2 linked regions of the Styela clava genome follow. The protein of the gene in region 2 interacts with the protein of the main gene of each other region in a pairwise test. Links are inferred from orthologs where the notes say so. Each region holds a gene or a part of one and is shown on either strand. Other genes may lie near its edges.

Region 1 (17,566 bases), on a different chromosome or scaffold from region 2:
ACTCCACTTTCAGTGTCCTTTGAGTTTTGCATTTCATTGTTAGGTGTCGCCAACAAATTTTAGTATAGGTATTCATCTTTTTGAAGGTGTCAACCATCTGATGGCTACTAGTCAACTCATACATTCTTCGCATACAAATTTATAACTTTCGAACGATTAATGTCAGCTATTTGCTTACCTGATCTGTACTGTTGCACGGCTGTGGTTCACCATGTGATTAGGACATCTTATCGGCTTTCTGTCTAAACTAAATATCCTATGCTCTTGCCCCAACTTTGGCAATTTTATAGTTTTGTTTATTGCTGTTTTGACAATCAATACTTTATAGTGCATCACTGATATTCTGCCTTCATGAATGGACGACAGCTTGACGTTGGACTTGTTTTTCCAGCCTGCTGGAGAAATGTCAGATGATAAATCACTTGACAATTTTTTCGAAAAATAAGATGCTCCTGAAATGAAAAAAAAACATGCATTGCAATGCTTATATGCAAAATCAGAGCTCTGTGTAGAACGTTGTGACCGTAGTTCATATACGGTCACTGTGGTGACAGCATATTTGCATCCGTAAATTGCGGTTAGGGCATTTGCACCCGCATACTGTTGTACCTACCAACATTTGTATCAACAGATTTTTGCACCCATATATATAGGGTTACCATATTTTTGTGACTTCAAAGCGGGACGCCTCCAAAGACAACGACCCCTTGTGAGCTGTGATTTTTTTAATTTACATTTCTCGATTTTACTACATAGGCCTACATTTAAAGCCATCCCGGCTGTACTCATTGACCATATTGCTATCGAGATTTCATGCGCATATTCTCTGTCTGAATATCGGGTTCAGTTCGAAAAATAGAAAGGAATTGACGCTAACGATACTGGTACAAATAATTCGAATTTAGATTTTTTTATGTACAGCAAAAGGAAGAAAGATAGCCTGCCGTTTTCAAGAATTGAGAATTTACTTATTTCCCCCCAAGCATGCTTTTCCGTAGATAACGCCTTCGTCAAAAAGACGTTGTTCAAAGTTACATTCACGTAAACGTCAGAACAAGACCAATTAGTGTTGATTTTACATGTGATAGGGGAAAATGGGTCACGTTGGGACATGGGGCACGGTGGAAAATCAGCTCTCACACTAATCCTATAGTCCACTGCTATCCGCTTTAGTCCACTGTAAATGTCCACTGCGAGTGGATGCGCCTTCCGAATTTCGTCGTGTGATGGTCTAAAAATAGTTGTTTCCTATGGGGAACAATGGACCGGGTTTCAGTGGGACATGCTCTACAGGGCACAATTTGACAATGTTTGATACAATAAATGCTTAGAGACCTAGGCATACTTTATATTTTGTGTAATATTATGGTATATTTCGACCCATAGCCCAATATGAAATATATTCGAGAATCAAAAATATTTCCAGATTTAGATTCGAGAAAGGAAATAAATTAATTTGTTTGCGAAATTTTTTGTTGAAATATCTGAAATATTTCGGTTGAACCTTACAGGATTTACATATTTATCCCGGGGGAGAAGAAAGCCAATAAGACGGCTTATCCATATGGCGAACCACGCCTCTCGTCCGGTTACCATTCCAAGTCGGGTATGAGATTAGTTATATTGTTTGTTTTCGGAAGCATGAACTTGGTGGTGGAGGAAGCCGTAACCGACCAGCGGTTACGTGAACCACCCAACGACGGCGAGGAGTCCAGCAATCCTCTTGCACATAACCATCCCTGCATGGGATTCGAACACATGCAGAGTAATTAGAGGTGCGGTGGCGAACGTATTCCTAACGCTTAGCCCGTTGAGCCACACCGCCGCGCGGTGATTTTAAACATCTCAAATCTTCAAATTTGAAGTCTCCATGTTCTTTGGAGTTAGACGATTATGCTAATTAATTGCTCATTTTTAAGGGCATACTTCGTTGAATTTTAACAGAATGACCCTATGTGCCCCAGGGTCTGTCCGAATGTGCCCCACAAGTGGGGTACAGTGGGACAATTGACAAACATTTTTCAAAACATTTTGGTGATAAGATGTGTGTCGCAAGGGAATTTCTTAGTCGCTTAATAAAAAACTACATTTACCCCTCACTGCATGAGTCCCGCAAAGTTAAGTGAAGGTACAGATTAAACGGCTCAAAATCTGCATAGGGAAAAAAGTGTCCCAACCTTCCCCACTTTCCCCTACGTTACGGGAAACAACGAAACAAACAAAATAACGCATTCACCTCCAGCAAGTGGGCTAGCGCTGCGCTGCACAGCAACAACAGTAACGAGAACATGTTCGTGTATTATGGTGGACGGCTGGACGCAACACGCTAAAAACGGGACTGTTCCGCCTAAAGCGGGACGTATGGTAAGCCTACATATATATATTGATTGCACCTGCGAACATTTGCACTCATGTACATATGCACCCATGTACATTTTCGCTCTAGACATTTGCATTGACGTGCATTTGCGCCAGGGACATTTGTACCCACGGGCTTTGCATCCATATACATTTGGACCGAAGGTTATTTGCATTTATGTACATCTGCCCCCATGGACATTTGCACTCAAGGCTGTGATAAAACTTCATCGGACCAGAAAACACGAGGTCATAATTCCCGTTACTTGTCGCTAGACTACTATCCTGTTTTTTTATATTAACGGGTCTACGATGAAAAAGATTTAATGGGTCGGACTACTATCCTGTTTTTTTATATTAACGGGTCTACGATGAAAAAGATTTAATGGGTCGGAAAATTATCCAGTTAATTGCTACAAAGTCGAATCTCAATGCAGCGCAATCCTCCGTGTTTTTTTATATGATAAATCGAGTAAATGGCGGAGTTACTGGAGCGCAGAAAAAGTGGCTAGTATGAACCAATTGACAGGGCCTATTATGCAGTTATTATGCTACCGTGTGTTCATGCAATGACCATTTTATAGGCCGGAATTAATACGTTGTGTTCCTATAAACGAAAAAATTGTTGGGGGGAAAGGGGCAGATACGTCCGCTCCTAAACTAAGACACATAAATATCTACTGCTGTCTTGGTCTTGAAAAAAATCCGTCTGCCACCTGGTTTTGTGGAACTTTGTCTCTTCTAACGAGGAACAAAGTTTTATAATACTAGCATGCTCATTTCTATTCACGATTGAGAGTCACGGCTTCTTTTGCCCTGAGAGCTCCAACAACCTTGGACACAAATTTCATTATTATTCCAGTACCCTTTTACGGCATCGAAAGCTATACATGATTGTGGTGTAACAAATATTTATGGTGATAGACGAGTACGTTAACGACGTCAAGTAACTATCTCAATGTAAGATAATTACTAATTGTGTCGTAGGTGCTCTGGTCTCATGCCCATTTCGCAGTTAAAACACATCAGTGCGTCGAAGATTTCATCTAATATAGACGCATATTGCGCACCCGTCACACAATCGAATGGATTTTAAAAATGGAAACGATCGCCATACCATTTTACCAAGACGGCGTTATTCGTTCCTTTTCCATCCGATGAACCAGAAACCTCGCAGGTTGCACAACAGTGACCAAGCTACCCGTAAATATTTCCGGAGTCTTGTCGCAAATAGGAAAAGAACATGAACACCTTTTTACATAATTATGAACTATGTATATTGTATTCTTTATCAGGGAATACATTGTCCTGCCCGTGCCTTGACAAGAAACAATTGAAAATAAACAATCGTGAAGAGCTGTTTGCAGTATATTGTTCTTCGTACACAACTTATATTATTTACCATACTATAAAATATCGAATTTTTTCGGGATCAGGAATACTGACTCATCTATTCCAAAGATTTCGCTCTTACGGTGCTTAAAATGACAATCAATAACCTTTACTTTGGTTAACTGTATATAAATTGACAGCACTGCAGTTAAAACTAATAAAACGTATACCATGCTACCTAATAATGATAGAGGCAAACGCTTTGACACAGGGAGCCAACAGTACTTGAAAATGTATAAAACAAAAAAATCTATTTATTCATTTGCTTAATTAGCAAAAAGTAATATATTACTTGAAAACATTGTACTTTTTACATTAATATGTTATAATTTGAGATGCAATCGATTAAAAATACCAAATCGACATTGAGTCTTCACCGCCTTGGGTGCTAAATCACGAAACAACTATCACATTAGAACAAGGTCCCTTCCCGGACAGGTGCATTTTTACAGAATTCACACACACACACTTGTGAGAAACACTGGTTACAAAAACTTAAAATACAAAAAATGTCTGTACAATATTTAGCACCCGCTTTTTGTCTTGAATTGGTAAAATTGTAGACATATGAAAGTGCATAAGATAGAAATAATATATTAAAACAAGTTGCAATTGTACAATCGCCACAGTTGCATCTTGGAAATATCTAATTGATGACAAAACTGCTGGTCAGATGTACCCTTTACCATTAATAAGTAAAATTTGTTAGAATAAACTTAAAAAATGAATTCCTTGGCAACAAATAAAAAGCCTCAATTCAGCTTTATAGATAGAGACTCAGTAACACATAAACAAATAAAAATTTGAACTCTCTCACGTTTTGATTTAAAACATCACATACGAATGATGATAGGATTACAGATTAATTTTTGGTACTCCCGTAGTATGTGAACAAAGATGACGAACACCAGAACGTAGTATGTGTACCAGGTTAGGGGTTGGCCATAATTTTATTCCAATTTACCTTATGTGACTCCCAAGGGATCCCTGTAGTATTCGTACCTGAAAATATAGCCTAACCATAACCTGGTACACATACTACGGTTCAGTGTCCGCCACCTTGGTTCACATACTTCGGGAGTACCTAATTTTTAATATCATAAATGAAACTAACAGTGAATATCTAGACTGAGTGAATCTAACATCTATTTAGCTATTGCAGTGCTTAGTCAAATGCGCTTAAAAATTAAATTCGTAGATTCCATTTGATTTTGCATAGTCATTCCCTGTAACTTTGATAATTCACTCAATGTTGTGATTTTTTGACCATTCGTAGTAATAAGGTAAGTGTGAATATTCAGTTGCAGGGGAAGCTGACATTACACATAAAATACTCGAACACGTGATTGACTCACAAGAAGATCTTCATCATAAAAGTTGGTTTCTATAATAACATTTCCGCTGAAAAAATAAAAGCAAAATCATGTAAAGAGAATATGATAATCGATAGCTAGGATCAAGCAAATACGTAACATCCACAGAAATCTCAAGCAACAATAGAGCTGGATTGTAGTGACTATGATGCGGTTAAAATACTATTGAAAAATGCAAATATTTCAGACTGTAATGCTCTTCCAAACCCATTTAAAACCACAGAAAGATTGCCGCACCATTTTGGCAGTTCATAACAATGCAAAGCGCGCTTTTGAGTAAATGGACTACCAGAATTGCCTCAGTCCTGATATGAATGGTGCATGTGAAAGCATGAAAGTACACAATACCAACAAAAGATTATAAGTAAATTTGCAACAGCAACTTTCTCATTGATGCCAAATTTTTTTAAATAGCTATGACCCATGGTCTTCTTTTCTACAATAAAAATATAATTTTCAACCCATTTATCAGAAAGGGAAGTGTGTGTACCAATATGAAAGTAACCAATTTTGTTCGCTTACTTCACATCAAGTTATGTAAAGAGACTGAAAGTTATAGGCAGGGGGTATATTCACATGGCTAAATAGAACTAAAATAAGAAAAACCGGAATAAAATTATGGCCTAACCCTAACCGGATACACAAATACGGGAGTACCTTTGGGGTTGAATGTCTGCACTGGATAAAATGAAAGAGCAAACATCACATCCTGAAACATAACTATTTTCTATATAGTTCAGCATATGCATCCAATTCATTAAATTGATATTATTTGTACATTGAGTATTTCCAAAGAGCGGAACAAAACTTGTTAAGATGTTACCTTAAAGCACTAGCAGGCATCATTTGCCCCTGTGGTGCAGCTTCAATTGTCGACTGCCATGTATTTGTTGAATCAGGAATCACAAATCCAAATTGGAAATACCATTCTGCAATATAATGAATTATGATTCATACATTATCAAATACCACATTATAAAACTATTAAACAGTGGAAGATAAAGAAGATATAAACTTTGTTAGGCAGGTATGGTTCGATAATACAGTTGTTAGTACAAGAATTGGAGCTCCAGAAGTACGTGTATGGAGGTAACTAATTTTGTTCGCCTAATTTACATCAAGTTGTATAAAGGGACTGCAAGCTATGGGCAGGGGGTATTTTTACTTGGCTAACACAACAGGCCCCAGACTCGTAATAGAACTAAAATGATGAAAATCAGAATAAAATTATGGCCTAACCCTAACCTGGTACACACACTACGGGAACCAGTATCCAAGAATTTAACAAGAACATATTAGAAAATTATACCTATTCATACTCTTGCAAAATGAATATGTGATTAATTAGGAAGTTCAGAATAAATTAGTTACTATTCCATAAAACGCATGTATACTCAAAATGCTAAAAATCCCTCATTGAGTAGTCAGTTAGAGAGGTTGAGGTTTCTCAGTAAAGGGTCATCCACTCAACAGAACACGGTGAGTAACAACAATGTGTTTCACAATAAGTGATTGACTTAAAATGCCAATACTAGTTCAGAATTACTAAAAACAAAAATGTAGCAAAATATACCTTCAAGTACTCTTCCTTTGAAAATTATTTTTTGTTCCAGTCTGAATTTTTCCATAGACTCTTTTGAGGAAAAATTGATTTCTCTTGACACAGCTTTGCATTTCAATATTTTTTTAGGTACTCGAGCTAAAAATAATATTGATAAACAAATATAACAGAGGATGTGAGGCCACATATTTACACAGCTAATTTTGAGCATAAATGACCCAATAAATTTTAATGACAACATCAAATTTTAAAGCCGCTCACCATGAACATCACTGCCAAAAAGTAACAAAAAAAATAGGCTGAGGTCTGCTAATCAATTTGTTTTTGTCTTGTGGTAGCCTTATATTTTGAAAACTGGACTGGAATTTCTTTTTCAACATTTGCTGTGGTGGCATAATGAACTTTTATCATCTATGATAATTGACCCAACTTAATACATATATTGCGCAATACAGATGGGGAAAAAATATTTCATCAATATTTTACCAATTCTGCAAACCATGTTACCTTCGTGCTCCTGCTCTGGCTTTGACAAATCTTCGCTGCCCTGCCATAAAACTCGGCCAGAACTGGCATCGCGCAAATTCATCCAATTTCTATAAATAAAAAGTTGAAAATTGATACATGAATCTTGAATAAATAAATATTTAAATACACAGAAGATTGTAGCATAGATTTTTTACAGACAGACAGTTATGATAATTCATATTTGTGTGCTATTTCTGTATTTAGTGCTGTTTACAGTCTGTGAATATTTACCTACAGCTCTTAAATAATATTTGCTGAATTCAGTTCCCTAAGTTATTTGAACAAAGTAATCAATAACAGTAAAAAAGGAAAACAGAAAAATACTAAATCAAGATAATTTTCTCATAGAAAGCTCAATGTTGAGAATCAAGACGGATCATGAATAACCACAGCAGTGATTTGAAATATATAAAACATCAAAACCTGCAGTAAAATATTTCAAAACATATGCAAATATCATAAAGTACGGTACTGTATTACAATGAAACATTACAATTCCATTTTTATTTCGATCATCCAATGTATTTCAATCATTTAAGACTGCCTAATGTAAATATTGAACAAAAACTTACAGTTGAAAACCTTCCAATATATTTTTGGCCTTTTCTGTAGTCATATTTGTAATCCAGGTATTAAATTACCACGTACTAAGCTAATTTTGTCACTCGAATAACTCAAGTCCAGTAGTTCAAGCCTTTGTTGCAGATATACGGTAACTGGACAAGTAATTACAGTTTCAGAATACGGTACCTAATTACAAATGCTGTAATGTGACTATGTCATTATGTGTAGTGAAGATAATGCCATCCTACTAATACATATCCCAGTGCCCGTATTCAGTTATTTGTGCTAACATGACTAAGCATTTCTTGTATATATATATTCTATATATTGTTATTAAGAGTAGTGAAGATAATGCCATCCTACTAATACATATCCTAGTGAAGTGCCCTTATTTGTGGCTACAGAACTAACTTCACTACTTGCTAGTATAGATATAGACACTGCAATACAGCAGAACGAGCCCTTGGTTGCTATTTACTGTTAGACTGTAGAGCGATATACCCCAGGCAGTCAGACGAAACTCGAAAAGGCATCGCACAATGAGGCAAGATGGCGTCTTACTGACTGTCTCTCACAGTACACATTTTATAATGTGTAGGCCACGTTCAAACGATCGATAACTGACAGAAAAACGTTGCATACTGGTATGCAGTTTTCGGTATTGATAAATGGTGTCGAAGCGAATTCGATCGCTAGTAGATTAACATACAAATAGGGGATTATATCGAAACGCAATAATCCCCTATGCCTGTCACATTTCTGGCAAAGATTTGCTGTTGTCATGTTCCTGTGTTCGGTCGATATATATGAACATTTACAGTGAAATTTATCCTGAACATTCGTGAGCAAAGTGAAATTTGGTTTTCTTAAAGAGTACTCGAGCAAAAATTCAAAGTTACCAACAACAAAACCAATTAATCCAAAAAAAAATCCACGAAATTCAATATACCCATGAAGTCGAGAAGTCTACTCAAAATGTGCAAGCCTTCAAACTTGCTCGTGCTGTCACAATCATCATTGGCCAAACGTAAATTTCTACCAGATAAAGCAGGGCTCCCCAAACTTTTGAGCTCGCGGCCCCTTTTAATATAGTAAAATTTTTCGCGGCCCTTGTCCACGTTAAATAATGCCAAACAGTTCGAATTATGCCTTTTTGATGTTTTATTGGCAGAGCTAATTCTCAACTTTAACATGTCTACTCAATAACAAAAACAAGCATATATTTATTCAGATTAACGTTTCTCAATTATTCAGTGTAATGGGTACGAATGCTTTTTGCTGCATAGCAAGGCTCAATGTATGTTTATACAGGCCTAAATGATGAATTACGTTGTATGGCTACTGACGGCATGGTCCTTATCTCGAATTGTTCACTCTAATTGATCAAACTTAGCATAAGGCAGCATTTTGTTCGACGCCAAATTATCAGGGAAAAAACTCATGGCGCACCTACACGAAAAATATACTGCCTCGAAACAAAACACAATTTTGTCATCGTTAATATGAACTAAATGTCTTTTGAGGTTTTTAATCATGTAAGCCCGATGAATAAAGGCAAAAAGTTAACGTTTCTTTTTTATCACTGCCTGGTTGCAGCATGTAGGGTTCATCTCTTATATTACGTAACAATAGACCCTACGTACAGAAAGTAAACACATAGAACGGCAAAATGACTTTGATCCATAAACACGTCATTTGAAACAATTAAACATTTAGAATAAATATGATATGTAATATGTTTCGAGGCGCACTCAGCAAATCGTCTTCGGAAACCGCTAGCATAACGATTAGAGCCGTCATTGTTATGCAAACCGCAAATCGGGTTTCACGATCAGAATATGCATTGTTATGCAAGCGCCATCATTCTACCGTGTTTCCCCGAAGATAAGACCAAGGTTGAATTTTAAAAAGATTTCAATATAAGAGCTCGGCTTCAAAAAGGACTTAGTCGATAGCGCGAATTTTTTTTTTTTTTTGACTCAATCTCGTGGAAGTGCGTCGTTTTAATTTTGCTAGGACGTCGCAAAATTTCGTGATTCGTGAACCTTTCAAAAACCCATATCTTCTACTTTCACTGGAAAAAAGAAAGATTAAATCGATCCTACCTGTGATGTTGCTATAATAGGAATGTTTTATTCTGGAAATTCGGTTTTCTGTAGATAAAGATTATTTGTCCTTGGTTCCAAAAGCATTGCGCACTCCCAACTTCTTTGCGATTTCGTATTTATATAAAGCAGCCTTTTCTACCAAGGCCCATTAATTGCGATTTCACTGACTGTCGTTAAGTTTTGTTTAATCGTTTATATGAGCATATTTTTGAAGGGCGTCACAATACAATGAAGTTCGAGAACCACTGCGTCCCAGTCGATAGCAAGAAATATTTTCTACTTTTTTAAATGGGTAAAAGTCTATATGTAGCAGGTATTTAAAATAAAAACGTGCTATTTATAAGTAAATGGAAATAGGTATTCATATTTTGCATATATATATAATAAAAAAATCTCATTATTCTGTATCCCAAAAATAAGCCCTAGTGTTATTTTCGAAAGAAAATTGGAGACAGTGTCTTATTTTTGGAAAAACACGGTATTATGATGATGTATTCACTCGGAATCGTGAAATCTTTGTTTTACACTATTTGTATAATAATTGTATTTCGAATCAAGAGTCTGAAAAAAGTACAATAGTCAATATATATGGTATTTTGTGTAAAATTGGTGTTCTCTTTGCGGCCCCTAAAATTCGTTTCGCGGCCCCTAGTTTGGGAAGCCCTGAGATAAAGCACTAGTGTCGACATGATCTTTTAATAACAACAAATCGGTATGTAGGAAATATCCATGTCGAAGGACAGGGCCGGATTTAGAGTTTTTTTAGACAATGGAAGTCCTGGGTCAATGTTGTTTATTCCCATAAACCCAAATCATACCAAGATCATAAATAGGTTATACATCTGAGAAAAGATATACGAAGAGTGTGCAGCATAAGTCTGGGTATCTAAATTCCAATACAATACAAAATTCAATCGGATACAACAATGCAAACGCGACGCGCATGGTATTTCGGCGGCCATGATCGTCGAAATAGATATTCACGTTGGGGACTCTACCAGAGTTCGGATCCTTTTCTTTTTGCAAACTTTCTACCATTCAATAGTTTTGTAGGCTCTTTTCTTCTGATTTTGAGTGTGGAAAGTTGCTATCCGAGACCGCTCACCAAATTTTTGAAAAAGGCCTATTTGACATAGGCCTAGGCCTAAGACATCCTTCAGCTGGCGCAATGTCTCAATTTACATGGTGGCAGCGGTGTCTGAAATTCGCTTACTGTCGATCAGGAGCATTCAAGAAATGGAAGAGCCAGATCAAATATTTTCATGAGCCAGCGGACCTAAAGGAAGAACAAAATCCCATAATCTCATATTGCAGGTGCTGAAATGATAGTGAGACTGAAGACGAAGATGACTACAGAAGATGGCTGAATACTAGGGCTGGGAATTTCAGGGAAAACACTTTAACCGTTAACCGGGTAAATTAACCGGTTAACCGCCGCGTGACGTTTGACGTAATAATCTATAATTTCTGCCTGTTACGTCTCAATGCTTATAAAGCAATTTCGCGTGTTCTTATCCCGGTATCGCTTATTAAAATTATTCACGAATCGAGATAGTTTCATGATTACTCTGCTGCACGAGATAGGCAGCGTGGTTCGGGCATGTGGAAGTATTTTAGAATACCTGATTCCGTTGTTAAACGTCATTTATGTCACAAATTATCAGTGTTCGATGTGCAAATTTTACTTCGGAGTATATATCATATAAAGAAAAACGCCATCAACTGCGCACTTGTTGTATGACATTGAATATCCGATTTTGCAATGAAATCGTAAACACTATTTCGAAATCGACCGAAAACTGATTCTGAATTCATCATTGTCAGATTTCCATAATCAGCAATCTTGGTACTTCCATTATGCACAGTCCTTACTCACACAGTTAATAATATTCATTAAATGCCACAAGAGATAAATTTGCGATGACGTAATCATATTTGAAGAAATTGTACGGTATGAAGATGATTTGTACCTGAGATGTCAGTTAAGGATTAAAATAAATCGTAACCGTTAACCATCTGAAATCGGTTAACCGGTTAACCATTCCCAGCCCTACTGAATACTATAATCTCCGGAAGAATGAAGTGATAGAGACATTTCGCTTTTTCAATGCCCAGTACAAAGACAATATTAATACATTTCTCGTTGAATTTCGTAGTAAAGCGATTCCTGTAATTTTAAAAAACAAGGTGCGAATGATAAGAAATGAAAAACGTATGTACATTGAATGGCAAATTACAAGAAATTCTGCATCCAAGATTCGTGCATCATCGGAAAGCGAGCAACGAATTTTGTCGACTCAAAATTTACAACGCCGAAATATGAACCTAGCTCAGCAACACAAAAAGCGAATTCCGAATGCAAACTAAGAGTTCAAATTTTGTGGACGAAGGCGCAGGTTCTGAATATTTTTGCCCTGTCTACGTGAAAACATGTCCCCCGTGCAATGATAGAAATAATTTCCGGGTGAAGTGTAGAACCTTAAGCCATGTTCGATAAATGAAGAAACATGACCAAAATAAAAACGCTTGAAGAAGGTGTCCAGAATATAAATAACGTCAAATCATCATATGTCTAAAACGTCATTTTGCCAGACATGGTATTTATCATGGATATTTATCCCAGATTGTGAAAGTACTGAAAGTACTGAACTCGTCGAATTCATGAGAGAGTGAAGAGTCAAGCATGCAAGCTCTTCGCATGTGCATCAACAAGCGAATGGAAAAGCTGAATCGTGGGTGAAGATTCTGAAGAATATGCTGAAAAGGACTACAAACACGAATGAAGATCAATTCATTCATTCATTCAACTCTTCTAAAAATAATCGTGAATCGTGTTGCAACCAGACCTCGTCGAAATCGTAAACCTCATATTTGGATGAAAGACTATGTGACTGAGTAGTGGCTTTAACTTGAATTTGAGTGTTAAATATTATTGCTCTCATTTATGTGCCTTGATGGTAATGATCATGACTTGTGTAATAAGTAAAAGTGAATATTTTCTATTTTGAATTTGAAAATAATTTGTGAAATTTATCTTAAACAAATTGGGATGTTGTCGTTGATGATGGCTAAAATCAGTGGCGGCGCGTCAATAGGGCCAACCGGGGCAATGCCCCGGTTGTTTTTTCGGTATAATAAAAAATATTCGAAAAATACCTCAATATCGGTTGCACAGACTGTCTACACCAGCCATATTCTCCCGACGTGGTTCATTTTTCGCTCGCAAAGCCTTCGCCGAACGTCGACGGGGCGACGCCGATTTTGCCCCGGTTGCTCATTGTATATCGTATTCTCTCTTTTATCTTCCACTCGCCGCGTTTGTTTTCTGTTTCTTTTACAAAATCATCGGGGCTAGCCCCGAAATTATGACGACACAATGCCAACGTTTCTTACAAAAATGTGTTGACATATTCTCGCATTCCTTCTCGTTCGTTGGTTGCTTGAAGATTTGATAGTTTCCTCGCCTTCGTTTTTGTCGCGTGTTTCGCTATTTGAATCAGTTAGAGACCTTTAGTCCATTTGCTTTCGATTTTCCACATTCCTTTTGAGCTCCTCACCTCTATCCGGCTTCGCATTTCTTAGCCTTAGACCTCATAATGAATAAGGTTGATGCACTACTTCGCACTCCGTTTTCGCAGCTGCCGCTGGAACAAAAATTAGAGGTACAACGTCTTGGGCCTTATCAACCAAAAAATTGTTCACTGGAACAATCCCATGACGGAGGAAAGCGTCGGCGTACATTCTGCGCAGAAACTTGGTATAAAAAACACGAATGGTTGTGTTACAGCGAGGACAAAAATGCACTTTTTTGTTTTTATTGCCTACTTTTTGCTACCGCCCCAGACTCACGTTGGTGTAAATTTGGTTTTAGAGATCTTAAACATCTTTCCGAGCGTGCCAGGGATCATCAATCTTCTATGGAGCATCTGGACAATGCAGTAAAATACCGAACATTCGAAAATGTTAATATTGCAGCACAGTTGGATGAAGGACGCGCGGTTTCTATTCGTCGGCACAACCAAAACGTCGAGAAAAACCGCCATGTTCTCGGTCGATTGATAGATGTTTTGAAGTTCATTGGTTGTCACGAGCTGTCCCTTCGTGGGCACGATGAACGGGCTGGCTCTTCTAATAGAGGGGTATTTTTGGATATGGTGGAATACACCGCATCCCTAGATACAGTATTGAGAGATCATCTTGATGCCGCAACTGTTTCGAAAGGGACTTTTAAGGATATCCAAAATGATTTGCTCGACTCAATGTATAAAATTTATTTATTATTTACCGAGAGATTTCACAGCTTTGTACCAATCGTTGATCGCACGGCTTGCGGGATATCGGCTGTACTGAAAGAAGTGTTACAGCCTTACAACGCGAAGTCAAAATTGATAGCTCAAACTTATGACGGCGCGGCAGTCATGAGTGGGTCGAAACATGGTGTTCAAGTTTATATAAAAGAAGATTTTCCTCATGCGCATTTTCTACATTGTTATGCACACCAATTTAACCTCGTTATTAAAAATATGTGTCTTGATACCCCTCTCGTCCGTATATTTTTTGCAAATGTTTCGGGGTTTTCTTCATTTTTTTCCGTTTCGCCGAAGCGCTCTGACCTCCTTCGCCAGATATGTAGCCGCCGTCTCCCAGCTTGTGCACCAACACGTTGGAACTTCCAATCACGCGTGGTGCAGGGCGTGTCCGAAATTAGGTCTGAGCTCATTGAGTGTTTCAATGGCATTCAGAGCTCTCCGGTTTGGGACGAACGCTCTGTGAGGGAGGCGGCAGGTCTAAAGCGTCTGCTAGAAGATGGTGAGTTTTCATTTTTTCTCGCTTTTTTTTTCACAATATTCTATCATGGATGGAGCGTCTGTGCAGTCGTGTATTTCAGACTTCTGCGATGCTGTATCTCGTATCCGGGAAACAATAAAATACGACGACACATGGAGTGCTCCTTACGCCGCGGGTAAACAACGCAGCGTTTGATTTTGTCTGAAAGGAATGCTGTGACATTCTGGTGAATCAAATAGGCGATCGTCTGCGCACTGAACACCTTGCCGCGTTCTCTTTGATGAACCCCAAAAATTTTTCAAATTTGCACGTCAATTTCCCATCCATTTGTTGGCTACTGTCTCCAAATTTTACCCCATGATAAACGTGGGTAAATTGGAAAATGAATTGCGATGTATATACACCAATCAAACTTTTTTGAACATCACATCAACTTGCGCGCTCTATGGGTTCCTCATAGATAACACTCTAGTAACTACCTTTGCGGCGTCTGCAAAATTTCTGGACATCATTTTGACGACGCCTATTTCTTCCGCCGACGCAGAGCGAACATTCAGCACGCTGAAGCGTATTAAAACGTATCTCAGAAACACAATGAAGCAAGATAGATTAAATTCCTTGGCTTTTTTATCCATTCACAGAGACGTTATTTCTGGGATGCATGACTTTAATCAGCGCGTTATTGAGCATTTTGCTTCCAAGAAACCGCGGCGTGTTGCATATATGTTCAAGCAGTAGAAGTCTAGCAGCATATATCTATGAGTGAGCGACGCATGTCCCTATCTTTGCATTCTCTTTCCTTTGGTAACGTTTTAAACCTTATTTTAGGTTTTGTCTGCTTTCCCGAAGTTTCTGTTAATATGTCATTGTATTTATCATTGATATGTCATTGTATAGTGATTAGTTATCACTACACATAGATTGTTTGTAGATTGGTCTGGTTTATGTGTTATAACCCCAGCATTGACTGACAATAGTTTTGTCTTGCGTTCGTTAACTCGAACTGTCTATCAGTCGATAGCCTTCGGCTGTAGTAAAGAGACGTTTGAAAACACCTTATGAGTTTATTGCAATTCCGACAATATATACAGAAATACAATGTACACACAATTTGATCAAATCTAGTCTGATTAAAACAAAACACGTTGCTGAATATATAGCTTTCTACCAAGCAATTAAAATAGAATAAAGAAACAGATTTTTACATTAACGATTAAAGAATCACGCGTCATTCCGGTTTCTGGTTAGCTTTCGGTTCACTATAATCAAACATTATTAAAAGTGTTTTCTTGAAGTTCATTACTAGCAATTAACTTGTTATTGCCAAGTCACCGTGTTCCTGGTCACGTACTTACTCCAATTATGAGATGTAAAAAGTTGTTCTCAAGTGGATAATTTGGTTTTAACAAGATATTTCGAATTTACGTTATTGGAATATTACTGGAAATAAATTTTATTTTTACATGGGATGGCACCGAAAGGCTATTGAATCTTGAAATTGGATTTTGAGAAATTGATAATTGCTATAACGGGAATAATTAATTTTGGTTTTCATGAGTTTCTCACGAATTGGGCCAATTTGGTGTAGTTTTGTAGTTACATAACAACTAATTGGCTACAATTGTATTATTGCCTTTCCTTTTGAAAGAGGTTTCAAAATAAACTATGTCTATATTTATTAATCCCTTGACTTGGACCGGTTTTAAAGACACTTTCTTATCGTTAAAAATTGTCGCTTTTGCCGATTGGTTGTTACCGATGGAATAGTTTTTATACTCATAAAATGATGGGAGAACTTACAGCGCTCATCCTGTCCCCGTAGATGGGGGTGGCTTGGTCCCGCAGTAGCTTGCCCCGGTTGTCAAAATGACCACGCGCCGCCACTGCTAATAATGTCTCGTCGAGTAACCTCCCTAATAATTTATCGTGCTATCTGTCTAGTCTAGTGTTAACGTGTCGCAGTCGCGTCATTCGCTAGTTTGATCTGTTGCTGTACGCATTAAGTTGTGTGTTATGCTGGTGTAATAAAGAAGAGTGAAACACGAAAATAGTTTGAAAACATAAATGCCAAATGGCGGCGATCAATTGATCCCGCGCTGAGACAACGCGAAACGAAAGAGAATATCGTCCCATATATTTCCAGTTCAGTGAGGTTTACCCAGATCCACGACCTTTGACCCTCGGAACATTTTTCCCACACTTTACCAAGTTTTTAATGCTTATTATAGAAGTGGTTTTGCAAGTTGGCGCCCATAAACTGGTTTATATATTCCTAACCAGCATTTTGATACAAAATATTCCACAACCGGCCATCCCAGTGTTGCAATTGCATGGAAACTAAGAAGTTGCTGAGTGTTGTCTGATGCACCTTTTCTTTTTCATTTCGTCAAATCAGGCCTTTTGACACAAAAAAAATCGTATCAGCTTTCTGGTGACTCCATGAAAACTCGGGCATGTTTGACATTTTTATGTAATCATTTCTATGAATAATTAGTACGGTACGGTAGAAATCAATGCAGTAATCTGGAAATTTAAAAATTAATATATCACTGTCAGTAACAAGGTAAAACAGTTGATACAATAGATTAGGAAACAAGGGAATTACTTGAAATTGTTAAACTCTGAAACAAGACTATTTTAGGACTTCAGGTTATAATTTATGAAACGATACTTTATTTGATACAGTACTCTTAATGGCGATGAGGCACCGGTAGGCCATCAGCCGACCAGTAGACAAGTAGACCACTGAGCACTATGCATACCAAAATGAATACAGAGAAATGCAACTTCAATACTCATTTTTTGTGCACATAGGTTATATGTATTTGACTTCCAATCATTGCATGGCAATCGTGCTGATATGGTACAGTATCTCGTTTTCAGCTGATTACCAT
Region 2 (17,566 bases):
GCAGAGCTCCAAGATTGCCTAGGGCGCTTCAGAGGTTACAGCCCTACAACAAGCCAGGACGACTTGAGGAGAACTATAATGTTAACTGAACTGGACAAAACATTTCTTAATTTAAAAGACTCTGCGCCTCTGCCGGAGGGTGGAGATGAACATTACATTATATTTCATTGCATGTTTTAACTGTTTCGTTCTTGTTCTTTAGATTGTATTTTACTTAGATTGCTTAACTTGGTTGGCCTTGTACTATAGTTAATACTTCATGTGAATTGATTTAAATAATAATCATAACACAAAAAACTCATTAAACCGTTTATTGCGTGTGTTCTGATATTTTTAAAAACAATAATCGTTGTTTACAATGGATTGTTTCTGATATATGGAAGATTATAAATGAGGCTAATGTATGTACCGGTAATTCCAATGTAAATATCATTCTACTATATGAAATTTGACACATTGTCAGATTGTGGGAAAGCTGTATCTCGGCATAAGTTTTTATTTTTTATTTTTAACAAAGGGCATATTATGGTCGTCAAATGACTAGTTTTTCAAAAACAAGTAGTACGGACACAATCTGATCATATAACAGAAATCATATGACTTATTCATGACATGGTTCGCTTTCTCGTGTCTATACAGAGCTGCACATTATTAAACTGAAAAAAAGCACAATCTAAAAATGTCTCTATTGGAATAATCATAAAAAGTAATCCGATATACCAAAGGAAAATATTTCACTACAGCATTAGGGAGTAATGAGCAAAAAACAATTAGCAGAACGTGAACTTTTAATAAACAGAGGACATTACAGCATTATGACACCACGCCCAGACGATGCACCTTATTTAACTTGTATTTTACATATATCGAGATAATCGCAGAATCAGAGAAATGTGTCACATTGCTAGGGGAGAAGAAAATCGAAAATCATTTAATCCAGAGATTTCCAAACTCCCACAATTTCAAAAAAGAAAACTCACAAATTTTAACCTCATGTATGTCTGCTTGATGTTGGTTTACATAATATAAAAATAGCTCAAAAACTGCTAAAGTAAGACACAGACTTCAGGACTTTATGATAAAAAATAACCTGTTTTGCCCTTTAACAGTTTTTATGTTTCACTAAAGCACTAACTGCTTATGTCAGTTTGTGTTTTTCATATTCCAGTAATTACTGAATTACTGAATTAGCAACCCCCAGATATGTAGAAAAATACACAAATAACTGCAGAATGATGCTTATTCTTCACAATGTACGCCACATCTTTCTACCGTATCTATCAAACATAGCCTACCATATCGTTAAAAGATACCGATAGTATTTTAATGAAACAGACTGACAGAGCTGAACAGAGTCAGGTACCGGTAGTCTAAACACAAAATATCCTAGCTGGGTTAATGCAGTACTAGGAGGCGTTCTCCCAGTTTGTGGTTTGTGAGGGCTTTAACATGCCTCGTCCCATTCAAAACCTGATAACAGTCTAATAATTTATTCTATCTTATTTGTACAAAGTCGACATACTGACATACCGCGAGGCTATTTAAGTATTCGGCATACTGGCGTACCGTTACAAAGTTTCAACAAAACAGCTCAACTTTAGATATAATCGTTCGAAATTTTAGACTAAAAATTCCTTTTGTTTTTGTGCTACAGTAATAAAGAAATAATAGATAAGTCCTCCACTTGCTTACGTCACAAGTGAACACACCACGCTGCCCGATGGCCATTTCCCGAACGCACATAACAAAAGCAACGAACTCGGCGAAGATCGCCTTTTTCTATTCTCGGCGACTTAGCTGTTTATTTATTAATTATTATCCGCGACCTGCGGATATAGTATACCGGTACGGATGCTCAGGAATAAAGACGTACTCACGGCTTTAGAAATGTATGACAAGCACACAAAATGCGGTTAGTTCTGACAGTGTCAGTTATAATACGTGATTCTTAAATGCAGAATGGAGCGGAGGAACTTTGGTTTCCACTGCGAACTTGTTTTTCGACAGGTCACGTGACTTCATTAATGCTCTCAGCTGCGAAATCCTTTTACGTCGCCAGTGGGCGACGCGAAGCTTTGCTGTAGTTTTCCCCATCCCGGTTTAAGACGACGATCCACATTTTTTGTATTGTATCAATACTGCAATACTGTTTTAGTAATGAAAACTCATCAAGAAAAGATGAACATCTTACGGACAAAGATGTCGGAATCAAAACGAAGTCCTCATAAAATGAGGACCGGGTTATTGGAAATTTAATAAACGACTGATTGGATTTTATCCAGAGAATTGAATCAATATTTAAGGCATGGCAATTAAACTAAGTAACTTTGATAATGCTGAAGAAGGAGCTTTTTGGAACACATGTATATCCAAAATAAGAATATGGGCAACTCATTGTAGTAAAATAAAAAAAGAAACAGTTATCAATGGGAAGATTAATTACTAGTAAAATACAGAGAAAATACAGGGAAATGCAAGATAGAAAACGAAGAGACTCTTCAAACAATACGTGACACAGAATTAGAAATTATGAAGTATTAATTCAGTGATTTCCCTACACCCCCCCCCCCCCCCCCCCTATAGGGGGTGAACACCCCCCCTAAAATTTCAAACACCCCCCCTAATTTTGAGGTGCGATTCCACACTGAGGGGTTCTAAACCGCAGTCTGCGGGCCAATTACGGCCCGCGTGACGATTTAAAATGGCCCGCCGAACTTGAGTGAAATAGTTTAACCCTTCATGTGGTACCTTTTGAGTTTTAGATACCGTCTATTGTTACATCATTATCACAGTTTAAGCACGTTTATTTCGTAACAATTGAATTATTCCGGTATCTTATGTATACGTATGGGTATTAGGATTACACACTGCAGTATTTTAGATATCAGCCGTATTTTAAGAAAGCTTAAAGATGTCACAAAACGAAAACTAGGCACTGAAAACAGACTTTTTTTAGATGAATGACAGCGTTGTTTATTTCTTTATTGAAAAGAATCAAACTTCAGCGATTTGTCTTCTTACCAACAAAATATTTCGGTTCTGAAGGAATACAACATTATGATCAGTTGACGAGCTTATTCCAAAATTTAATTCATACAAAAGTCAAACAAACATGTTCAAAAAAATTAGAAATGTGTAACAAAACAAGCCATAACTAGCCATTCATACAATGCCAGATGAGCAAGTAACTTCATTAGTCACTATCAGTTGCAACTTGCAAATTACTTGTTGAAACGTAGTAATATATATTTACGGTTGAAAGCCGTGCTTGTTATCTATTCCCCGGGAATTCTATCAGCTAAATATTATATTTATTGATTTCATTACATAACAAACTGCGATGTTAGGTGTATCTAAAATCAAGCTTAGAGCCTATTTTGGTGCCTATTTCTCAAAATTTTCTCAGGGCGCTTGAGCGTGTCGTCCCGCACTTTTCCTCGCTCCCTTTTTCTGGCCCTACAATTACATTCTGCTGTGGATTTTTGCTCGCGTCAATCAACTTGGGGGGCCCCCATGTAGCCTACATCGTTTCTTAAATACATACCATTTTTTTAAGAATACAAATAGCCTAGTTTTATATCTAACAGCAAATTATTTACCACCCCCTAAATTTTTAAACACCCCCCCTAAAAAGAAAAGCTGGGGAACATACTGAGTATTATAAACATAAATCGAAGGGGCAATAATTAGGGCAAGAGTTAAATGTTGAATATTTGTTAAATTTAGAGAAGTCCAAAGGTATAAAGCAAAAATTTTCAAGAAAGCCTGACAATACTTTAGTTTACACATGTGATGGATTTCAGGAAAAGCAAGTAAAATTTTATAAAAAGCTTTATCAGAGTGATGAAAATTCGAACATTTATTGTCAAAATCTTTTGTTAAATAATTCAAATCAGCAAAAAGTGTCAAACGAGCAAAAACAAGAACTGCTAAGCGAATTAACAGAAGAAGAATTAGAATAAGCTTTCAAACAAATGAAGTCAAATAAATCCCTTGGTCTGGATGGTCTAACAAAAGTTTGGAAACAATTTCGCCCAATACTTGTGCTAATTTATAATAGTTATCTTAAACAATCGTGGCTGTCTCAGAACACAAGTCTTGGTTTAATAACTTTAATATATAAAAAAGGATATAAAAATAAAATGAAAAATGGACACTTATTACGCTACTTAATTTCGAATATAAATTAAATAAATTAAAATAATATAATAATAATAAATCTCAAAATATTAAAAAAAAACTTGAAATTTGGCAATTATTTGATTAGATGGGTAACGCCAATGCAAAAATAATAACAAATGGATATTTATCGAAATAATTCAGTATACCACGAGTTAGACAAGGTTGTCCCCTTGCCCCACCTTTATATATAAATAACGTCCGAATTGTTAGCATCCAACATTCGATGCAATTATAGGTTTTCGAAATCGTACAGGTACTAGGGTAAAATATAAAGGTTTTGCGGATGACACTATTGTCACATTAAAAAGTTTATCCTCTATAGACGAGATATTAAAATAGAAAGCTACAGGCTCAAGAATAAATATTCCAAAATGCAACATAACGTTGTGCGGATCAGCAAAACGGCTAAACATAGGGCCATCATACAGGGGTATTCAAATTGAGAATGAGCTGAATATTTTAGGAGACTTTGTAGGAAACAGTATTGTATCGCGGGATAAAAACTGGTTGAAAATCATTAACTCTATTCAAATTGTAGTAAATTTGTGGCAGGGGCGAAATTCATTGATGATAGTAAAAATTATTATTGTCGAATCATCAATGTTGTCTTAGGTGTGGCACATTGCCAATTAGGAAATTATGCCAGAAAACTTCATTCAAAAATCAAATATGAACTCCCAAATAAGTACAAAATTCTAAGTTGGAAAATTTTGCCTATTCTACCCACAGGAGACAAATTAAAATATTGGTTCGATGATGAAAATGGAAAATGTGTATATATATATTTTGTAATGAAAATGAAGAAACCTGCATGCATTTCTTTTGGTATTTTGATTGGATATTAGACTTTTGGCAGTGGTGCAATATAAGGGAAATCAATTGTGAGGTAATTATTTCTAATAATATTCATAGTGAAGAGGAATCAATCATTCAATGTGGAAAATCGGCCATATGGGAATTGAGGAATAGTGTCAAATATGATGATGTATTCCAAATGCAATGTAACTTAAAGGCTATTTTTAAATGTAAACTCCTAGGTGTAATTAGATTAATGATTAATTTCGGCGGTCCCTGTTGAACCACCTTCATTCATTCGTGCATGCCGTGCCTCGAATCAACGCGATATCGCGTAATTAATTTCGTCCGGGATTGCCAAGAATGACGGTGATAAGACCTGATAATTGGAGAAGAAGTGCACCCATAAATCGTTTTGTTAATATGTTGTTGGACAAAGTCGTTTTATTATTTTGTTGTTCTCGTTTTTTATGTTAGAATTTTCCTTCTTATAGTTGTGAAAAAATCGCATTTCCCTTTAATTAGGCTACAGGACCCTGGACCGATTGCTTTGAAATTTTCAGTGGTAAAGATTGTATTTTTTGCTAGAAGGCTATTACTTTTATCTATTTTAAATATTTCTGTGAGCTACATGGGATTAGTTTTTTGTATGACGTCATCAAAATTTGCGCATATTGTGGCGGTGCCACGAACGCATATCTATATATAATTCACTTTCCTATGAATTGCTTTCGACATCCTCATTCTCGAAAATCAACTTTTCCCTTATGTCTATACGTATACTGTGGTTTTTGCAGTCGACACAAAACAAAAATTCTGTGCAATTTTGGTTATTTTTGACACATATGCATAAATTATTTTGACACCTATATTTCTTACACTTGCAGTTTGCCAACTCCATAACTGATTTGGATCCATCAAGTTAATCCGCAAAACACCATCATCAAAACCCCATTCATGGCCAATAGGTGGGGGAATAATTGGCTTCGGTTCTAGACAACAGTAATTTGCCCTCAGAACATGCTTCTGTAGTGAATCATTGTTGGGTGTGAGAGTATAATCCATATGTTTGCCGGTTTTGGAAAGGCGTGCCCTTGTATCATTTACATTTTTTATATCCTCTTTATACAGTGATAGAACAAATTCTTCAGTTTTATTTATAGATGCCCCGTTAAACTCAAAAGATCTTCATAGTTGAGAAAAAAGCTTAATGAGTTTCAAGTCTTCCAACATCAGTGCGATGGGAAGTTTCAAGTTTAGAAGAATGCCAAAGAATTTCAATATGAATAGCCATCTAAGCTGTTTGCAACTGTTATGATTTTCATATACCTTTTTCGATCCATTTTATTCTTACAGGTATAGCGCTGATCGCAGCAGCGACGATAGCCTGCGTTAGGTTGGATTGGTAGAACATTGGTGGCGTTTTCTTTGTAGTGCAGTATCTGAAATGACGAATAAAATCATATTTGACACAACATAAAAATACCATTAAATACTTCTTATACTGCACATGGAATTTCATCTGATGTACTACAGTCCTGCAGTGTTTTCATGCTAGACTATATCTACACTGATCTAGATGAATCGCACAGTTTGAAATGTCTTGTATTTTTTAAAACATCAACTGTCAGCCTACAACTTGATACATTATTTCTCACCTCTCAATCGCTTAATATCTTCAAGACGGCCTAACATCAGTAAAATTGGTTATTTTCTTTCTTCCTCGCAAACGTGCATTACAAAAACGGTCATTATTTTCCGAAGCAAATATGCTGTAGTAGCCTATATAGTAGTATAAGTCTGCTGAATATTCAAGAATCGTCATTAAATTAATCATGTACCTTTCATACAATCATAAAAATACCGTATCGTTGTTTGTGGCATATCTTTCAAGGTATAGTATAACCTTTCGCCGCACAGTACTTATTTAAAAACGTTATATGAGCTAGTGATGAACTAAAATTGCTATTAGGATCTAAGGGTGTTTAATAACTTACTCATAGTTTTTAATAGCGTCTTAGCATAACTTAACTAATACCTAAAAGCCGCCATCGGCTGATCAAATTTTAATTGTTCCGTCATGCAGAAGTCACCGATCATTGGCCAATGTTGCCCAGAGAATATAGGACAGATGGTAGCACCATTGAGGTGTATATAACCCATTGAGGTGTATATATACACCTCAATGATATAACCCAAGGGGTAGCACATATTTCTTTCAGTAAAGGCGTCTTTTTTGTAAAACGTGCAACTTTTGGAAATGGGAACAAGATATTATTTGTTACTAAATTTCTAAGGAACATTTTGATATTATTTCCAAGTAGTCCTCCTATGTGCGCTACGAAACTGAAAGATAAACGGCTTCGTCTCGCGGCCTAAGGCGAACGATCATTTCAGCACTGTGAAATAAGCGACATGGCGGCGAATAGTAATCTTAGCATAAAGCTATCGAGCAAACAGAATTTATTGAAATACAGTATTGTGTCCGACGTGTACTAATTTAATAAGTTGTGTATTTTATAGCATTGTTAGTTATGTGATTAATACATAATATACTTTTGCAAAAATTATCTTGACATGCGCTTCTGGAGGTTCCCGACTCCCCACAATGATATGGCAATACTGTAAATGTAATATATAGGTTTCTAATTTTTTAACCTCAGTTTTTATATGTAATTTTAAAACGAAATAATAACCAGTAATAACTGTATTTTACAACACCTCGAGAGATTTAATCTTTGATTGATAGAATTTAAAATTAATCTATCGCATAATCCGGCACACCACCACAATAATCGATCACGTGATGCTATTGGTCAGCTGTGCGTGACAAATCAGATGGTTTGTTTATTTGTTTTCTAGCTTTCTGTCGCTAACAACGCCATTTTTTGAAGTATAGCAGGTGTTTAGGACTTCTACTGAATTAGAACGGCGTTTTTCTTATGGGATCGAGCTTTTTTGATTATATACTTCAACTATAGCTTTATTTCATGTTTATTCTGCAGATCTGATATATTTACATTCACTAATATTCAACATAACCAGTATTCAAGGAAAAGACAGAAACAGAAAAAGGGTCCGTACCGCTGTGGCTGACGTTCTTCTTGGAATAGATTGGAAACGAAATTGATAAATTGTGACTGAGACGAGAATTTTGTTCATTACTTCTTAATCTTCGACAGAAATTTTGGACTGCAAATTGAAGATTAATTTACAATTTTTCTGCATGATTTTTGACAACAATTTCTAAACTTTTGTGATACTGTAGAAGATCTTGGAATACAATGGTGAGACATTAGAGCGTTATCGCTTTTACAAGTTATATATTTTACTATTTATTTAATTTACTATGTATCCATATTTTGCTACAACTTTCAGGGGTTATTGAGTTATTTGAGGAAACTTAAATCTGACAGTGTCAAAGAGATGCGGATACTTTTGCTTGGTCTTGATAATGCCGGTAAAACAACAATTTTGAAGAGTCTAGCTTCAGAAGATGTCACACACATTACCCCCACACAGGTATTAAATTTTATTGGTAATATCACAGCGGATAGGCACCTTTCTTCTTAGTTTATCTAATAGTAGGCTACGTAGTAATAATGATTCTAATAAATTCCCGAACACAAGACTGAGTTTTGATTTACTGTAGCCTTGTTTGAAAATAATAATTCACAAATTCATGTGGACCTATAAGACATTTGGCCATAGATGGGCTGAATAAATATCCATGGAAAAATACACACATATTTACATACTCAACCGGTCTAATTTTACCTAGCTGTCAGGAAAGCTTTTAAACCTATCTGTCTAAAGAGTACTATTATATGGGTTAACCAGTTGTGATGAATTTAATAATCATTTTAATGAAGACAGTAGATATTTATTTGTTGGTACTAGATGCACTTAATAATGTACCATAATATACAGATATATCCTCGCCTAAAATATATGAACCAAGTGAGTTATGTTATAAAAAACTTTTGCAGGGTTTCAACATAAAAAGTGTTCAAACAAAAGGATTCAAATTGAATGTGTGGGATATTGGTGGTCAAAGGAAAATCAGACCATATTGGAGAAATTATTTCGAAAACACGGATGTGCTGATTTATGTTGTGGATAGTGCTGATAGAACTCGATTAGAGGAAACAAATTTAGTGAGTAATATATTTTGTAGCAATAGGACTTCTACAATCTTAACTGATCTATGGATACATGTAGCATTTTATCAACTATTAGTGATGCAAAACCAAATTTTTGAAGATTTTTCTTAGGGTCCCTTTATTTATTAAAATATGGAGATGTTGTTCCACCATCAGTTTGAGGTGTTCATCTTTATAGCCAAAATTGTAACAAAATTTTAGACTTTGTTTAATACATCCCTTAGGAAATTGATTAAAAATGGCTTAGGCTTTTCCAGCATATGAGTTATCAAATGGCTATATACAGTGGTGGAATTCAATTCAATTTTTTTGTCAGCCGGTTCTTTTCACCCGGTTCTGTTACAAAATGTTCGCTGATCTCGTAAAATTAGCGAACCGGCTGAATACAAAAAAACGATTTTGACATTTAGGAATTAATTTTGTAACATTTTCAATACCCTAAGGAATTGGAGGAGTTATTCAATGAAGATAAGTTGTTGGGAGTTCCAGTTCTTGTCTATGCCAACAAGCAGGACTTATTACACTCAGCCAAGGCGTCAGAAGTAGCAGAGGGACTCGGACTGGCTAAATTACGAGATAGAAATTGGAATATACAAGGATGTTCAGCATTAAGCGGAGAAGGTCTTCAGGTACGACAAAATAGACATTGTGTTTGCCGAACTGTGACAGTGCTATGAATTATTTGTTACCTTATATATTATTTATTCATTGATACGCAAACTGACACAGCATAAGTAAATTGAGATGGAGCAATAAATATTAAGTTTCAACAACTACAGTAACCATTGATTGCAACCATGCCAGATGGTGTGTGGGCCTTGGGAAAGTTATTCTCTACTTAACAACATATTAGTATTCAAGTGATTGGTTGTAGGTGGCTTCCACTAGTTTCTCTTTGCCTATATTGAAACTCCAATATGAGAATTTAAGCATAACTCGCACTCTGGCTTTTGTATCGTCCAAACGTGTGCATGAATACTACACCAGAATACAAAGTAAGATTTCATCCCTAGCGTCGCACGAGTGAATATATTTTTTCTTAACTTATTCTCATAGGATGGCATGGAATGGGTGATGAAGAATGTTACTAAACACAAGAAAAAGTGAACAACCTTGTGCTTTTTGTTTAATTGTAAAATGGGACTTCAGGTTCAATCCAGCCAGTGGCATCCCTAGTTCTCCACCATCACTGCGTTTTGTAAAATCTGTACATCGTTTGTGCTCATTGTGCATATATATCTTGGTTCTTTATCAGACCGAATATTTCTAAGTATTTGCTAGTTTATAGCAACAAACCTCCTTTCTGTACGTCTTGCTTTTTAAATTTATCGACATAACCTGCCTAAAAGTGTATATGGTGCTTTCAATGGTACATTAGGAAATGACATAATTGTATTTATATTTGCAAGCTGTAAAAAAATGCTGATATTTATTAAATTCAATATTATTTGTAGAATTCTGCCATTCTTTTGTTTCTTCATCTGTGCATAGTCTCTGCGGTGGAATAGTCAGTTTTGCTTACTTAGGTACACGTCTCAGCTCATGAGCCAGCCATGTCGTGAATGATAGGAGAGTAAGAGACCCTGATTGATGCATGGCCGCTGTAGATGTTGGAACATAAGTCAGCAAAGTTGTTACTCCCAACAGTACCTAGAGATATGTTAGAAAACTGTAACCAGATCTTCATTACTGAACAAGGCGCACCAGCACTAATTGCTGAAGGCAAGAGGCAAGCACCTCTGTTTACCTTAAGTGTGCGGGGATATGGACCATTTAGTGATATAACTACCCGCATAAATTTCTCCAAAATCAAATAAGCGGCCATCTACCCGCATAAATTTCTCCAAAATCAAATAAGCGGCCATAATTTGCAGTTTTACACACTTTGCTCTTTCCAAGGATAAACAAATTTTTTTAGGCAATTCCACATTATAATGATTTATAGTCTCGGCAGCTCTTTGGCACTCTAGTAGCCACCCATAACATCTCTTGGAGACGAATCACTGAGTGGGGGCACTTCACCTTGATTTGGGGAAATTTCCTCATGAAAAATTATTATACAATTTATAAGATTTAATTTAACAACAACTCACCTGAATAAAAGCCATTCCCAGCATAAAATTAGATGCAAGTATGGCGCGTGAATGGACACCTGAAGATCTTCGTACCATATACCACATACTCATGACTGATGCTAAACTAAGATGACCCTGCAAGATAAAATAATACCGGTGAAACTGTATCGAGGAGTCCAACAATCCCATCCCAGGGGTAGGCAATTACTTTTTTGAGTGGGCCTATTACATTCATATAAAAGACTTGGTTACTGCGACGGAGGGCTAGAACTCGATATGAAAAACTATGAATAAAAAACAGTTTATTTACAACAGCTGGGCTAATGGTTATATAATAATAAGAAGCACTAAGTAACAATTCGGGTCATTATGACATTATTTTTATCGACATATTCAACAGAAATTCAACAGACACAAATGGGCCAGATGAAACACCTCAGTGGGCCATTTCCACGGATAGTAATATGCCCACTCCTGCCTTATCCCCATAGGATGCAAAGCTGCACAGGTATCGGTGGTGCAGTGGCAAGCATGTTCTCAAAAAATCCATAACTGAATTAGTTTTGAATGAAATGGACTTACTAATATTCTATGATCGAACTGCACAGTGGTAGGATTTTCAAATATATTAAGCCATTTCGGGGTGAACGCTGTTAGGTCACTTGGTATCCACCTGTCTGCCATCTTGGGATATGAATTATATACAAGTCCTGCATCTAGACCAGCCACAAATGCACCTGGAGAACAAAACATGTGTTCAGAAGAAATCAAACAATAATCGAAGATATCTAGTGTATCCCAATCAGGCAGCTATCAAACATCGATATGCAAGCAAAAGGGTACTCCCGTCATGTGTGTACCGAGACAGGCCATAATTTTTTTCTGAATTTCCTTATTTCAGTTCTATTATGAGTTTGGGGACTGTCTGTGTTAGGCAAGTGAATATACCCCTTGCCCATAGGCTTCAGTCCCACAACTTGATGTAAAGTAGGCAAATAAAATTAGTTACCTCCATACTCGTACACACACTTCTGGAGATGCTATTGGCCTCAACTTCAATAATAAAAAAAACTTCAAAAACTAAAAATTCCAACCTGATAGAGCAGTAACAAAAACAAGGCTCATTAAGCCATATGCATGATATCGAAGCACCAATTTTCGCGTTGTTGATAAATTTAAAGACTTTTTGGAAAGTAATTGCGTTAATGACATCCATAGCATCCCAGTATAAAGTAGAAATGCTGAACCCAAGTGTGTAGCGAGTCTGTACTGGCTGACCCTCGGTACATCTGAATCTGCAAACCTCTCTTCGAGTCCACTCTTAACCATGAACCAACCGATAAGTCCCTTGAAAAAGAGAAAATCTAGTTAAGGACCGACAAACACTTAATTTAGAGTCAGAGTGGAGTGGAGCTGGAGTCTTATTTTCAAATTTTGCGAAAATGAAGTCGGAACTGCAAGCTTTCATTGGGTATAAAGGACGCAAATTTTCTACAGAAATTAAAGAAGATATAAAGTTTACTTAGATATAAAGTGTTCTTAAATGTCTATTAAAGAAGGTTAGCGAAAGTTTTGTTATAAATATTTGATTTTCCCTGAGCAAGGGTCAGAGTGAAATTTTTTACGATATGGAGATATTTTGAAGCCAATTGTAAATGAACAGAAGATCTGGTAAAGTACTGGAAGCTGAACCAAAATTTTTGAAATCTGGTGACGCAGCTATGGTCAGACTTGTTCCAAGCAAACCAATGTGTGTCGAAGCGTTCAAGAATTATGCTCCGCTTGGTCGTTTCGCCGTCCGCGACATGCGACAGACTGTTGCTGTTGGAGTCATCAAGGAAACTACCAAAAAGACCGGGAATGTGAAAAAAACCAAGGCAGCAGCGAAGGTCAATAAAAAAGCAGGAGCCAAGAAGTGACTGGAAGCATCTGGCCCCCCATCAATTGTTTTTCAATTGTAAATTTTCCTAATTTCAGAGACCTGGTTCCAGATTCCCTTCTAAAAAATACTACCTGTGAAACAAGAAGAGTTCCCAGTAATCCTGACTTGATTTTCATTCCTCGATTTAACCAACCTTTCTTCCAGAAGTAAGCAAGTGGTAGAAGATAGACGACACCAATTAATCTTCCCCACATTCTATGACTGTATTCCATGTACCAGATAAATTTAAATTCTTTCAATGTCATATCATGATTCAATCTGAAAATGTAAAAACTTGATTTTTAATATTAAACTAACCTAATGTTAGTCAAGTGAGGAATGTTTGGTTGGGTATCTCACAGGCTGAGAGCAAGTCATTTCTAGCCTCAGGTCAGCTTAATCATTGTTGGGTAGAAATCCTTAAAACCGAGTCACAAGTCAAGTCACAGGTCTTTCGAATCGCAGTCGTGGTTAGTTAAGTAATTTTATTTAGAGTACTCGAATCTCTTCAAGTATTTGATAACCAGAGTTAACCATTAATGAAGTGATCTAGGATTTTAGTGTTACTTCGCTTCATCTTGATTATTAATATTCGATTTTTAAACAGACACAACTTTATAACTTGACTTATATTTTTAGTATTTTTCCTAAATTTTTCCTATTTTGAATTCATTGCATTTTCATTTTATTCACAGTATTTATATTTTATCAGAATATTTATCAAACACTTACATTCGGAACTCAGGAAATTGTTTATATTTGTTGAACTCATTCTCCCAATCCTCTTGTGAAGTTGGTGGTTTCATACCTTTGATAAGATGCCAATCAACCATAGATAACCCAGATTCTGTTAGTCGAGTCACACCACCCAAAACGACAGCACCAACCACCTACCCTGACAAAAAGAAAAATAAATCAGTGGCAATCACCAGGAACATTTTTGAATTGATATCTATAAAAACACAGACATATTATACAGTCAGAATACAGACCTTCAAGATCATAAATTATATATCAAAGGACAAATTTTTGGCCACCTTGGGCCATTTTACTGTCCTCCATAGTCAGAAAAGTTATTCAGTTGCGCAGCATTTTATAACAATCTAAACTTAATATTTTTCCTATTCATACATTGCTTGTCTACAACATTTTTTTTTCAAGACTCCCAATTTGTCGAATTCCCTTCGGTTAACAGTATTGTATTGCATGATGATATGTTATAAAAATACCATCTCATCATGAGTGACTCACTCACTCTTCTGTCAATAATCTTCCCATTTATAATTGAGGACTCATGACAGTGTTTTTATGCAAATTCACATATAAACTCATCAATTAACTCAAGTTAAGGCATACTATCTACCCATTCTGAAATGAGTACGAAATGATTTGAATCATAAGACTGTCATGTCAGCCTTTCTTTACTAACTGAGAAATGTAAGAAATAAACAAACCAGGCCACAACATCCAGCAAGCCACCATCCGATTATTTTTTGACCAGGCTGATGAATTGGGAGTTGTTTTGCAATATCTGCAGACTTACGCAAAGGTGAAACCCATTTGAATACAGCCGATCGCTGAAAAAAAAGTTTATGAATGAATAGGATTTACATATTTATCCTGGGGGAGAGGAAAGGAGATAAGACGGCTTAATCATATGGTGAACCACAACTTCTCGTCAGGTTACAAGTCTATGTCGGGTATGGGATTAGTTAACCAGTTATTTGTTTTTGGAAGCATGGACTTGAATGCAGCAAATCAGTAATCCAACTAGAGATCCTGTATTCAAAAAGTCAAGTGATTTATTCTCTTGTATAGGGCAAAGCAAAAGCAATGTATAAAAAATATATAATGTTCCTCATTTCAGCATTTACCGTATATCCCGGCGAATAAGTCGCTTTTCTAGACCCAAATTTTTGGCCTGATTTTGGGGTGGTCGTCTTATTAGGCGAGTATGGTAATTTTGATTTTTTTGGTGTCGCCTTATTATGTATTAGATATTGTTTTTTTATGGTGGACTCAATTGCGAGTTGAACATAGTTAGATTAAAATTTAAAGACAGTTTGAACTCCCAAAGTTACCGTATTATGGATTGAATATTACGCTACAAGAAAGCGTCATTATAGGCTATTTTTGTATTTATAGTATTGTAGCTTAGTTCTATGATAGAGTGCTGACTGCTTTTTAAATTTTCTAACACCATATTATCAAAACAATAAATAATGAGATGCAAGATCTAGAATAAAACTTATAACAGAATCAAAACCAATTGTTTTCATTAATTTTTTAAATCGAAACCCACCTGATTTTTTCGAAAAGCTGAATACTGTCTGTTTGTGAGTAAAGATAGACGTGCCTGTTGAAAACCTTTAGATAAGGTAGAACACTTCAACCAAAGGCTCATCTTTTCTGTATTGTGATACAGTAGGTGAAAGGCAGGAATCAGACAATCATCGAAAAAATGTCAGGGATTAGGTACGGCACGGTACCCTAGCTTACTGCAGTACTAGAATAAGTATAAGTTTATTTGACTCCATAATCAGCATAACAATAAAATGATTTGTAAAAAAAATAAATAAAAACCGATTATGAAATCAGGAGAGCAAACAAAACCTTAGATAGGTTTAAAACGTACAGAATGTATAAAAGATGGAAGGTTTTGCCAAGAAGAATACGCGGGTCTAGTATAGTTTAGTACCACAAGAACTTCCAGTTGGGGTAGTAAAACAATTTTTGCATATGTTATTCCTAACCCTTACCTGACTATGCCATCCAAAAAATAAGGTCACTTCGACGTCACCATCACGTCAAAGGGGTTGCCAAAGTATAATTACGATCGCCCGAAATGGCATCTGCGCCGCCGATAAGAACTTGTTAAAGCCGGCGATCTCTCTCCTATCGTGATCGTTGCGACGAGAGAAATAGCTTGCTCGATTTCGGGTTATCGTCTGCGCATTTTAGACGACCATCCGCATACTTCGGTGGGCCTTATTACGCCACTGTGACGTCGGAATGACGTAATTTTTCGATGACGTAGTCAGGTGGTGGTTAGGATTGACATATGCAAAAATTGTTGAGCCAGGCCAACTAGAAGGGGATGTGGTACTAAACTAGGATAGGATTAGGATAGGATTTATATATTTATCCTGGGGGGAAAGGAAAGCCGATAAGACGGCTTATCCATTTGGCGAACCACGGCCTCTCGTCCGGTTACCATTCCAAGTCGGGTATGGGATTAGTTATATTGTTTGTTTTTCGGAAGCATGGACCTGGTGGTGGAGGAAGCCGTAACCGACCAGCGGTTACGTGAACCACCCAACGACGGCGAGGAGTCCAGCAATCCTCTCGCACATAACCATCCCTGCATGGGATTCGAACCTGCGAACCCACGCAGAGTAATTAGAGGTGCGGTGGCGAGCGTATTCCTAACGCTTAGCCCGTTGAGCCTCACCGCCGCGCCGTATTATACCATACTATACTACCGTACTATAACGTATACACCGTACTATACCATACCCAAATACGCTACCGTATTCTATAATTACCGGTACCGAATTATGCTAATCAATGGAATATCAACATTATTAATTTAAATTTATAGCATTAATGCAGTAATAGCGCGCAAATTCGTACCACAATACGGTACTGCAATAACTTCCAGTGAGCAGATTGATTGTGACGACGTAGACTCGATATCTGACTGTCTGATACAACAGAACGCCGCAGTTCTGTCTCGCGTACCGGTACGGTAATACACAGATCACAGACGTTTCGGCCCATAGACAAATACACGTTTCTCAACAATGCGCGATGCGACAATAGACGAGTCTATCTTTACCGAAACAGGTAAAATATCCATCAAACTGAAGCTACCTTAACGGTCCTGTAGCTGCAGATATTTTGCAAGGGTCATGTTCTCATGTAATACACAGTACTATTTTGCACAATTTTTCTATTTAAATGAACGAAAATAGGGGATCAAAAACAACACTTTCGCGCCGCGCATTGGACCCCGGATAATTCCCCCAATATCACTCCACGTTTTACGCACACAAATTCTATAATTTACAACATTATGTTCCTCCAAGTGTGTTCCCCAGCTTTTCATTTGTCGAATTTGGTGGGTGGTAGAGAATATGCAACTTTCAGGGTTTCCTGTTCTTGGAATGTCCTGATATCAGCGAACCTGTTTCAGACGTTAGGCGTTCTCTGTAGACTAGCGTTATTTATATTTGACGTTCAGAAAGTTATGTATTATATATATTTATTTAAAGCGCATCGTGTTGATGTAGATTACGCAGTGACGTAGGTACATTTCCCGAAATAAGAAAACTTTTTAGTGAGTTCGATACGAAGGAGAACTCGTGTTTAAAAAATAGAATCCCACCTCTGGTTAGCCTTGTTGCAAAATACTTTTGTAGCTAATGTAG

The links.
Region 1: the proteins of ADP-ribosylation factor-like protein 3 (region 2) and retinal rod rhodopsin-sensitive cGMP 3',5'-cyclic phosphodiesterase subunit delta-like interact in binary tests that used the Caenorhabditis elegans proteins (3 or more experiments, as listed by UniProt). The link is inferred for Styela clava from reciprocal best matches to the Caenorhabditis elegans genes arl-3 and pdl-1.

What each region holds. Positions count from the first base shown.
Region 1 is NC_135252.1:5,204,848-5,222,413, forward strand, and holds retinal rod rhodopsin-sensitive cGMP 3',5'-cyclic phosphodiesterase subunit delta-like, read right to left. Parts: upstream 8,232-17,566; 5' UTR 7,829-8,231; coding exon 7,785-7,828; intron 7,281-7,784; coding exon 7,192-7,280; intron 6,823-7,191; coding exon 6,697-6,822; intron 6,053-6,696; coding exon 5,947-6,052; intron 5,152-5,946; coding exon 5,070-5,151; 3' UTR 3,709-5,069; downstream 1-3,708.
Region 2 is NC_135258.1:8,471,697-8,489,262, forward strand, and holds ADP-ribosylation factor-like protein 3, read left to right. Parts: upstream 1-7,979; 5' UTR 7,980-8,261; coding exon 8,262-8,264; intron 8,265-8,355; coding exon 8,356-8,499; intron 8,500-8,966; coding exon 8,967-9,134; intron 9,135-9,583; coding exon 9,584-9,769; intron 9,770-10,196; coding exon 10,197-10,247; 3' UTR 10,248-10,604; downstream 10,605-17,566. Other genes in the region: heme A synthase COX15-like, read right to left, coding at 10,659-10,790, 11,234-11,350, 11,798-11,952, 12,310-12,562, 13,229-13,415, 13,869-14,026, 14,591-14,713, 15,439-15,540. UniProt on the Caenorhabditis elegans protein: GTP-binding protein that may be involved in protein trafficking; may modulate vesicle budding and uncoating within the Golgi apparatus.